3 linked regions of the Nothobranchius furzeri genome follow. The protein of the gene in region 2 binds, or shares a complex with, the protein of the main gene of each other region. Links are inferred from orthologs where the notes say so. Each region holds a gene or a part of one and is shown on either strand. Other genes may lie near its edges.

The links.
Region 1: taf1a (region 2) and taf1b share a complex: the UniProt entries of both Homo sapiens proteins name them as parts of the transcription factor SL1/TIF-IB complex. The link is inferred for Nothobranchius furzeri from reciprocal best matches to the Homo sapiens genes TAF1A and TAF1B.
Region 3: taf1a (region 2) and polr2k share a complex: the UniProt entries of both Homo sapiens proteins name them as parts of the pol I pre-initiation complex. The link is inferred for Nothobranchius furzeri from reciprocal best matches to the Homo sapiens genes TAF1A and POLR2K.

Annotation. Positions count from the first base shown.
Region 1 is NC_091742.1:16,192,719-16,196,992, forward strand, and holds the start of taf1b (TATA box-binding protein-associated factor RNA polymerase I subunit B), read left to right. Parts: upstream 1-1,340; 5' UTR 1,341-1,472; coding exon 1,473-1,490; intron 1,491-2,742; coding exon 2,743-2,841; intron 2,842-3,790; coding exon 3,791-3,878; intron 3,879-4,069; coding exon 4,070-4,167; intron 4,168-4,241; coding exon 4,242-4,274. UniProt on the Homo sapiens protein: Component of RNA polymerase I core factor complex that acts as a GTF2B/TFIIB-like factor and plays a key role in multiple steps during transcription initiation such as pre-initiation complex (PIC) assembly and postpolymerase recruitment events in polymerase I (Pol I) transcription.
Region 2 is NC_091742.1:8,327,585-8,331,238, reverse strand, and holds part of taf1a (TATA box-binding protein-associated factor RNA polymerase I subunit A), read left to right. Parts: intron 1-1,136; coding exon 1,137-1,295; intron 1,296-1,421; coding exon 1,422-1,488; intron 1,489-1,637; coding exon 1,638-1,761; intron 1,762-1,908; coding exon 1,909-2,063; intron 2,064-3,654. UniProt on the Homo sapiens protein: Component of the transcription factor SL1/TIF-IB complex, which is involved in the assembly of the PIC (pre-initiation complex) during RNA polymerase I-dependent transcription.
Region 3 is NC_091759.1:1,441,009-1,443,850, forward strand, and holds polr2k (DNA-directed RNA polymerases I, II, and III subunit RPABC4), read left to right. Parts: upstream 1-1,230; 5' UTR 1,231-1,362; intron 1,363-1,566; 5' UTR 1,567-1,572; coding exon 1,573-1,633; intron 1,634-1,888; coding exon 1,889-1,981; intron 1,982-2,082; coding exon 2,083-2,105; 3' UTR 2,106-2,201; downstream 2,202-2,842. Other genes in the region: stk3 (serine/threonine-protein kinase 3), read right to left, coding at 673-695. UniProt on the Homo sapiens protein: DNA-dependent RNA polymerase catalyzes the transcription of DNA into RNA using the four ribonucleoside triphosphates as substrates.

The sequences.
Region 1 (4,274 bases), about 7.9 Mb from region 2:
AACGGTGCTAAGGACGTTGATATCCGGAAGGTGCAATTCAATTGTATTTTTATATTTATTTCTATTTTTATTATTATATAATATTTTCTGACGTTCTGTAACCTCTGTCGGTGTTGCGCTGCTTTTTTTGGAAACTGAATTTCCCGAAGGAATTCACCCGAGGGATTAATAAAGTTTTTTATTATTATTATTATTATTATTATTATTATTATTATTATTGTTCCCTCCTCTCCATGATTCATCATGCTGCCTCGCTGCTACCTACAACTGACTGGAAATTGTTTGTTGTTGTTATTGTTGTTGTTAGCATCAAGGGCAACATGCCAATTATCACTTGTAAGTCGCTTTGGACAAAAGCGTCTGCTAAATACATAAACATAATTTGGATTTGAATCTGAATGAAATAACTGACACGTGCACCAGGATAAAATCAAATTAGTCCAAATGAAAGCCATTGGACCAAATACATTAATTTAAAAGAAAGTCTAACTGTGAAAATAGTTTATTATTGCCAATTTGAGTTACCTACTTGTTTTTCACAATTAGAAGCCTGAGCTTTGGTGAAACATGTGAAATTATATAAAATATATATTTAACTCAAAATAATAGCTACATTAAACATAAATACATAATATGTAAGCAACTATCTTGTAACAGTTTATTTGATATTTTCTTGGTACACAGCAAATGAATAATTTCTTAAATTCTTTGTTTTGTTTTAGTGTTTGCTTTTATTTTGAAAGTGCGCCTCAGCTTGTTGTGCGTGTTGTCGCGCGCTCGACGGGCTCGTGAGTAGAACGCGTGTGTGCTCTCTGAGCTCGTGAAAGATGAACCCAGCAGTTGGGTCGTGAATTTTAGCGATTGTACAAGAAACATAAGCTCCTAACTTCCAGAACCACAACAGAAAGACACAAAAATAAAGTTTCTTCTGAAAAGCGACTCGATTCGTGACGTAACATAAGAGAAAGACGGAAACATCTGGCGAGTCTTTTTATAATCTCTGATCTCATCCAAATCCAAATCCGCTTTTAAACGAGAGGCCAAAGTCTGTAAAACACCACCAGCAAACATGACGGCCGAACCGAACATCAGATATGACAAAAATACAATAAAATACAGCAGAACTCTACATAAAATACCTTTTGAATAACTTTGTGAAAAATCTAAATGAGCTTTCAATAGTTTTAATTGGAACGTTGTAAAACATTTTCTTCCGGATGTACTTGACACGTAATTGATGAATGTTGAATTACACAGACAGCAAAAGCGAGTTATAACCATAGTTGGCGGTTGTAGTTCACATTGCAACCTGTTGGTGGCAGTATAGAAACCTTGCAGTCGCTAAAATCAACCGATGAAGATGAAGCGGTTCCAGCTACAAATACGCTTCTCTCATTTTAGCTTGAGAGCTAAAAGGAAAACCTAATGAATAAATTAAACACATAATGACCAGACTTTAGTTTTAAATCACGATGGATGAAGACGCTACGGTAAACACATTTAAGCATTTTTTATTTGTAAATATGTCGCGTACATTTAATTAAGGGGGAATGTTGATGTTAGCTAGCTGGTTGAGGCACACACAACCCTATTAACAACACGCCTTCTTTCATTATTATTAAATACGAAGTCCGAAAGAAATCATTTAACAACTTGGTCGGAATCTACAGCGGTCGGTTTAGTAATCGGCATAGATTTAGTAACGTTACCAACACGATCAACGTAGTTATTCAATCGTTCATGTAGAGGTTAGTAGTTTTGGCTAGCATTCCACCTAATTAGAGCTGTGAAGAAAAAAGAAAGAAAACGATCTTTTATGTAGCGCCTGTCAAGATAAAAATCACGTGGAGCTTAAAAAAAGTATAAAAAGGATTTAAAATATGTTTAAAATGAGAAAAAGTGGGAAACCAGTGGATCACATGAAAGGCGGAATAAGAGCAGAACACGGAGAGGGAGGTGATGAAGGTCCCACTAAAGCCTGCACAGGTGAGTTTAAAGGAGACCACGTAGTCCACTGACCTCAGGCTCGGGGGAGAGAGGTCCAAAGTCTGGGGGCCACAGCAGCAAATAATCTGTCACCTTTAGCCTGGTGCTGCACAACCAGTAGGCTTTGGTCACTGAACCTCAGGGACCTGCTGGGGGTGTAGGGACTAAGAAGATCACCAATGTAAGATGGTGCTTGTCCATGTAAGGCCCTATAGACCAGAACCAGGATCTTGAAATGAACCCTGAAATTGACTGGCAGCCAGTGAAGCTGGAGGAGAAGCGGGGTGATGTGGGTGTGTTTGGAGGACTTGGTCAGAAGCCGAGCACAGGCTTTCTGAACCAGGTGGAGCAGAAGCTGCTAATAGTTAAGCTTTTATTTGTGTTTATTATTTATTGAGTATTTAAACCCGTTTTGATGCACCAACATCCTGCTGTGGTCAAGAAAGTAAGATTTAACATTTTACTCTTTCTTTCTGTTTCATTTAATTTATCTAATTTTTCTTCAAAAGCTAATTTTTGTCTAACTCACTGAAGGTTCTCATTTTTCAAGTTTCTTACAAACATTTTTCTTATTATGCATCAGATTTTAGATTTAATTTATTACTTTTTATTTGCTTTTTTATTCAAAGTTTGTTGTGAATCTACTTGTGTGAGTTGTGAGAATATTAATAATATTAGTAATAATTTTTAGGTTTTTGTCAAAAGCTCAGGTGAGTTTGAGTTGCTCTCTTCACCCGTACCTGTGTTCCTGTCCAGGCTGGCTACAGGGAGCCCTGCGCTCAGTGTGCAGCGGTGAACTGGGGCATCTCAGAAGAAGGTCGTTTCTACTGCATGTCCTGCCACAACGTCATAGAGGTAAACAACAACAACAACTTACAAGTGATGTAGGTGTGTTTGGAGGACTTGGTCAGAAGCGGCGCACAGGCATTCTGAACCACCTGCAGACGGTTCAGGGAGGTTCTGCTCAGACACGTGAAAAAAGAGTTACAGTAGTCTAAACGTGAGGAGATGAAGGTGTGGATAACTGTCTCAAGTTCAGAGCAGGACAGAATGGGACTCAGCTTAGCAATGTTCCTGAGATGGAAGAAGGAAGAGCGAACAAGAGAACTTACATGAGAATCAATGAGTATGTTACCATGGTAACACTTCCTCAGATGTCTTAAAACTCTGAAAGTTAGAAGCTTCTAAATTCTCATATTGTGGTTTCTGAACATGTGTCTGCATGGACGTTATTAATGTGGGTTTAAGCTTTCCGTTAGCTTTAGCCATGCTAGCTTGCACTTCTGAGAGGCTGGAGCATTTAGTGTTAGACTGCTAGATAATAATAATAATTATAATAATAATAAGCACAGTGAAGGAAACTCCTGAGTTCACATTTTAAAGAGACAGTTGGTACCTTGCTGCAGCTGTTTACTGCTGATAATAATAATAGATTAGATTTATAAAGAGCTTTTGGGCTCTCTGCTGGTGATGGAAAACTCAAACGTAGCCATGCTGCCCTGGGGTTGTCTGAGAGGTGAGGTTGTCATTTTGCACTCCCTCTGATTACTGGACAGCAGGCTCTACTGATCTTAAGGTCCTCATCAGCTTGAATGATAAATGCTCTAGACTTTCTGACTGATTTCCTGTTTCCTCTGCCTCCCAAGTCCAACGCTTTTACGTACAATTGAGCCTGTCAGCGTCATTGCCATGGAACGTGGTTAAAACGGGTTTTTGGCAGCTGTAGTGCCTGTGGCTGTCAGCAGGAGGCGCTGTTTTATCTGAGGCCTCCCCTGATGGTTTTTATACATGTTCCTGTGCTCAGAGGACCATAGAGGTGGTGGACCTGAGCGTCGCTGGAAGCTCCAACAGATTAAAATCTATCGCCAAAGGACCCAGAACCAGTAAAGAAGGTGGGTGTGTCCTCTGAGGTGGTTTCAGCTGGAATAACCACACACACACATACACCACACACACACATACACCACACACACACAACTTTATTTTACAAACACAGACCTTTCTGGTCTCTAAAGCCGTCCCCAGATGTTTTCTAGCTGCAGGGGAACTTCAGTTTAGTTTCTGACAGGTTGATGTTCCTCAGAGCGCGGCTACACCTGGCTGGTCTGTGAGGGGTTCCAGTTCATCCTGAAGAACCAGGCTGACGCTCTGCTCCGGCTGGGAGTCGATCCGAACTTTAAGGTCCTTTTATTCTCAAGCGGATGTGGATGCTCCGGCGCCGGCCGATCCCGTCTGATCCGTCTGATCCATTTCAGGAGGTTTTGTGTCAGATGTGGAGACTTTACCTG
Region 2 (3,654 bases):
TAATAAGGAGCTTTTGGCCCAGTGTTCTAACGGAGCAGCGTCCAACTATGTCATGTTATGTTCGAGGAGCTGTGAGTCAAGCATACAAACGACAAAGTACAAGGAAAATGTTTATCGACTGTGTTCATAATTTTTTACCACAAAAATGAACTGATGATTGTGTATCACACTTTTATTTTACTACCTTCTAATTCTAAACATTTAGAAAATAAAGCTTTAAAATTTATCAAATGGACAAGTCAAGGGATCGTACGGTCGTTTTAAACAAGTATGATTATCTGATGGACAAAGTGGCCTATCACATTGTCATATAGCTTAAATGTATGATCTGACAGACATGTGCTGTCAGGCGTATGCTGTAACACGCGTATGCTAATCTTGACAACGTATGGTGATTGGACAGAACACCATTTCACGCCAGTTTCTTTCCCAATTCTCCTCCTGACCATCTCAAGGATCTGCCTGATTATTGTAACAGATTTAAAGATAGTTTTATCAGATATTCCTGCCGTGTGTGGTGTGTTAATAGCTCTCTGGTCTGCTCGGAAGGACTGCAGGACTGCTCCCGATCACAAATCGGGATATTAAACGTGATGGAATGTCTTGGTCAGACATTCTGCCGGTTGGATGTGACGTGTAGCCAGTCTGAAATTGTGATCTCGATTGGTCTGAGCTAATCTTGAAATATTTGACGATTTTCTCATCTGTAGTGTAGATTTTGCCGTGTAGCCAAGCGCCAAACACTAAAACTGGTAAATGTGATTTATTTATTTTTTTTAATGCCACACGTGGGAGTCTCTTATTTTGAAAATCATCCAACTTTGGCAGTGTGAGTGTCCTGTCACAATGTCCCGCTTGATGATGCGCACTGGCTACTTGGCCAAGGGGATGTCCCTTTGGCTGACTGGTTAGAGCGTATGACTCTCACCTGGGAGTCTGGGGATCGAATCCCGCCCGGGCCCTCGTTTCTCCAGCTTGCCACACTACCAGGACCATATCGAAGCACTTACCAACTTCTGCAGTCTTTAAGTTGTTGTAATGGTACTTTGTTTTTTCAGACACATCTTTTCTGTTATGCTGACCGTTAATCCCATCGTTCGACCGTCCCTGCCTCTTGTCTCACTGTATTTTGGCAGATGTTGGAGTTTTACGGGGATCACGTGGAGGCTCTTAACGTCTTGAACAACTACGCGTTAAACAAACGTTTTCCACCCAATCCAAACGCACACGTGTTTCTGTATCAGTTCCTGAAGAGGCACAACACTCCTGAGAAGAAGCTGATCAAAGTGTTAAAGGTAAAACAGCCCATGAAACTTATATTTTACAGATGATTATATCTCATATATTCCTAAGTATTAGCACTGATATTTAAGGACACATCTGCTTGCAAAACTTCCAAAATAACCTGTTTCCTGTTGTAGAATCTCCATGTTTTAGTCCCGAGCCACGAGTTGATGCTGGAGTACAGCTACTTCCTGCTTCAGTCGGGTAAAGTTCGCCTAAGAACACACTTAAATGAATAAAATAATAAAAACACATTAAATGAGTGTATCTTTTCAGCTTTTTAACTCATGATTTTGTATCCATATAACAAATGTTTGACCATAATTAATTTTATGTTTTGTTTTTGTTTTAAGAGAAAATAGGTGACTCTCAAAAAGCTTTAGGAGTCCTCCTTGAGATGCTGGACTTTGCCTGCTGGAGGAGCAACCTGGACGTGTGGAGGTGCTTGCAGGCCGTCGTTCAGGACCTGAGGTTACGGTACGCACAGATTTATGAAACTTTTTACATTCTCATTAGTTTTCCTGTCATAAATAGGAGCTAAAGCCTGATTAATTTCCCTCTGGGATTAATAAAGTATCTTTGATTTGATTGATTATCTGAGTTTTTGCTTGGATTTTAAACCAGAGACGACTGGGAGAGAATTGTCCAGGAACAGATGGCTTCAAGACAAGATTGGTGGCCTGTTCTGCATTTCACAAGCTTCCACGCTGCTAAAGACTCAAAGGAAAACCCCCAGCTTTGGAAAGTGAAGTCATCGCTACTTAAAATCCTTTGTCCAGGTGAGTAAATGCACGTGAGCAGAGGGCCAAATGCAAAAGTCATCTTAGAAAATTCTTTAATTTTTTCATATGAGCGAAACGTCTGTTTCAAAACATCGTAAATCTTTGTCTCAGCTTTTTATTTTTATTTTTTTATTCATCTTAAAATAAAACTAACTTTTAAAAGCTGATTGCAGCATCTGATTATCTGTAACTTCATTATCAATAATCTTTCAAATAACCGTAATTTCCTTTAAAATTTCAAGACGGATACATTTTCTAACAGTTTGTGAAATTATTTAAAGTTTTTGTCTCATAAAACGTTTGTAAATAAATGCACGATGTTTCCTGCCATCATGCTAGGCAGGCCCAAACGTATCGTGAGGGTCTGCTGGGAACGTCTGGCAGAGTCTCCTGTCAGAAGGAGCTTCAATTCTCACCTCCGACAGAACTTCCAAAATGTTCCGGGGGAGGCGGGGGACATTGAGTCTGAATGGACCCTGTTCCGTGCCTCCATTGTTGAGGCGGCCGACCGGAGCTGTGGTCGCAGGATCGTCGGTGCCTGTCGTGGTGGCAACCCCCGAACCCGCTGGTGGACACCGGCGGTTAGGGATGCTGTCAAGCTGAAGAAAGAGTCCTATCAGGTCTTTTTGGCCTGTGGGACTCCAGAAGCAGCTGACGGGTACCGGCAGTCCAAGCAGAACACGGCTCGGGTGGTCGCCAAGGCAAAAACCCAGGCATGGGAGGAGTTTGGTGAGACCATGGAGCAAGATTTCCGTATGGCTTCGAGGAGATTCTGGTCCACCATCCGGCACCTCAGGGAGGGAAAGCAGTGCACTACCAACAGGGAGGGAAAGCAGTGCACTACCAACACTATCTATAGTGGGGACGGTGTGCTGCTGACCTCTACCCAGGACGTTGTGGATCGGTAGGCAGAATACTTCGAAGACCTCCTCAATCCCATTGACACGTCTTCCAGTGAGGAAGCAGAGTCTGGGGACTTTGGGTTGGCCTCTCAAATCTCTGGTGCTGAGGTCACTGAGGTGGTTAAAAAGCTCCTCTGTGGTAAGGCCCCGGGGGTGGATGAGATCCGCCCAGAGTTTCTTAAGGCTCTGGATGTTGTGGGGCTGTGTTGGCTGACACGGCGCTGCAATATCGCGTGGACATCGAGGGCAGTCCCACTGGACTGGCAGACCGGGGTGGTGGTCCTCTTATTTAAAAAGGGGGACCGCAGGGTGTGTTCCAACTACAGGAGGATCACACTCCTGAGCCTTCCTGGTAAGGACTATTCAGGGGTTCTGGAGAGGAGGGTCCGTCGGATTGTTGAACCTCAGATTCAGGAGGAGCAATGTGGTTTTCGTCCTGGCTGTGGAACACTGGACCAGCTCTATACCCTTAGGGGGATCCTGGAGGGTGCGTGGGAATTTGCCCAACCAGTCTACATGTGTTTTGTGGATTTGGAGAAGGCGTTTGACCGCGTCCCTTGGGGGGCCCTGTGGGGGGTACTCCGGGAGTATGGGGTACCAGGCCGTCTGATACGGGCTGTTAGGTCCCTGTATGACCGGTGTCAGAGCTTGGTCCGCATTACCGGCAGTAAGTCGGGCTCGCTCCC
Region 3 (2,842 bases), on a different chromosome or scaffold from region 2:
TATTGTGTATTTAACACAATGTCTCTTTAATAATGGAAGAAAGACACAATATTTCTTTATATATGCACATCAAAGTTTATTTTATAGAGTAAACATTACTTTCTGTAGGAGAACTTGAGTGTGTGTTTATAACTTAAGAGGAATGATGAAAATAATTGATGAAATCTAGATAAAAATACTGTTTAAAAAAATTTTGAGATATTTTTGGTCTTTGATCATAATCTGGATTTAATGCAACCTAGTATCAATGTACACAAATTAAACAGATAATAAACAATTTAATCCTACTGTCTTATAAAATTTAAATACATTTTAAATTTAATTAACTTAAAAGGTGCTAGCTTAAGCTAACCAGTAAATAGATCGGTCCAAAATAAAGTAAACAGTTACTTCGAATAAATTATGATTTTCCTTAATACACATTTAATTTATTATATATTTTTGAAGCGACAATGAAATCACCCCCAACGACGCGAAATCCAAAAACGTCTAAACAATTAAACAAACCATAATCTCAATGGAGGTTTTAACCGGTTTTGTGTTTTTACTTTCTGCTTGTTTATCTCTGTGGAAAGTTTGAGAGAACTGAATTCGCTTAGCATTAGCATCCTGAGCTACCGCCTACATTAGCCTGGTGGTAAAGCAGAGGTCTCAAAGCAAACGTTCACAAACCTTTTAGGCGCGGACGGCTCCATGGTACACCAACTCGGAAACAAAAGTCAAACAAAGTATGAAAAAGAGAGCGCGGGTTTGTCAGTGGTAGTCAAGACGTGGACATTGTCGGCAGATTCGTTGTTGTCACAAACTAGTGGAGGAGGGCCAGCTGGGGGGAGCTCTTCAAATGATGGACATTCTTGTGTTCGACGCTGCGACAGCGCCCCCTGTCGGGACGGAAGCGCACTTTACATTGTTTTATTTTACAAAAACACAATTACGAATCAGATTGACAATGTTTGGCTCGAGTCAAAAACAAAAACTCTAAATAAAGTCTAATTTATTCATAAGGTCCCAAAAGAATACTAAATTAAGCCAGAATTTGTAGCGTAACGGTAATTGAAAAATGAAACACCCGTGTTGTGGATTTGCTTTCAAGAGGATGTTGTGTCAAGACAGGAACATTTTTAGTATAAAATATACAAAAAAAAATTCTTTGCTTCCAATTTTTAAAATCAGTTCAGATGTGTTTCGAATAATTCACAATGCCTCAAAACCGCTGGGTGACAGTAAAGGCACGTAAAGCGTGTCGATCGTCCTGTAAAACCAAGAAGAAGAAATTTGACGCAAGCGCAGAAACCCAATCGTAAAAGCGGATGGTTTAGTGTGTGAAAACAGTAAACATTTCCCAAATTACGCAGTTAAACGGTGAGTCATTTCGCTTCCTTTCATCAGTAATTAACTAAATGCATGTACACGGTTTAATTTGTGCTCTGTGCGTATACAGTTTCACCAAATTCAGAGACGTTTATGCAGTTTTGAGCTAATGTCCGGAGCACCATGCTGTTTCTGTTAGCATGCTAACAAGAAGAAGGGTTGTTGATGAAATGTTTACATTTCTGTCTTTTATAGAACAAAATGGACACACAGAAAGATCTACAGCCGCCCAAGCAGCAACCAATGATCTACATTTGTGGAGGTTTGCTGATGAAGCAACTATCATTGCAATTCTTGATGGTTTTATTCACGAAATATAGAAAAGTCATCAGAAAAATACTAGTTATGACTAATTAAAACATATTTCTTATTAGTAAATATTCCATTTTAGCCTGACAGCATGTAAACGTCGATTGTTAATGTGTTTGCACAATTATACTGTTCTAAATTAATTTTGCAGCAGTTCTGAAATACATTTATATGTCTTTATAAATGTATATATTTTTTTTTTATGCAGAGTGTCACACTGAAAACGAAATAAAGGCCCGCGACCCGATCAGATGCAGAGAATGTGGCTACAGAATCATGTACAAGAAGAGAACAAAGAGATGTATCCTTTCTCTCTCTCTCTCGTGTGTGTGTGTGTGTGTGTGTGTGTGTGTGTGTGTGTGTGTGTGTGTGTGCTTATTTTCCTTGACTCATTGATTCCAGTGGTTGTTTTTGATGCACGATGAAGAGGAGTGGAGCTGCAGATTGATCTTTAGTTGTTGTTTTCTGTTTTTATTGAGTCTGACCTTGTAAATAAACATAAACTGGGGCTTCAGCTTTCATGTTGGTGTAGATTCTCGCTCATTCGGGTCGTGGCATTCCTAAATTGCACTTCTTGCTGAAACATCTTAGAGCAGCAAGATAAATTCAGCCTTTTTGGTTTTTGGCATCCGCGGTTTGTGTCAGGTGTTCCTTATGTTATTTTAGTAAATAATAATGATGCATAAAAGTTTTATTTTAGAAAAATCAGTTTGATTTGACTGTTTTCTTTTAAAATCCTTTGTGGCCAGCAACATTAACAGGATGAAAACTCTTCAGTTAGTTTAACACATCTGCTAAATAGATATGATCCACAGTCATTCCTGAAATAAAAATCAACCTTTAGGATTTAAATTCAAAGTTTTAACCACATTTCTCTAAGAAGGAAAATTCTCATCTGCTGGCCAACAATTCACAGATTCACCAATGTTTTTTGGTTTGTTTATCTGAGAGCACGTTGTCGTGTTTATTTTAAAATTTTCATAATCTTGTTAAATTATGGGGTCTCATTTCTAAGTGAGACTTGTTTTAATCAAACATGCAAGAGAAGAAATTAGTAACAAGAATATTTAGTTACGAAGAAGATTGTAAAAAAAGTGTCTAAATAAAATGTGGAAAGAAAATCAGTTTCTCAAAAACGTTTGACTCAAAAATATTTAAGTGA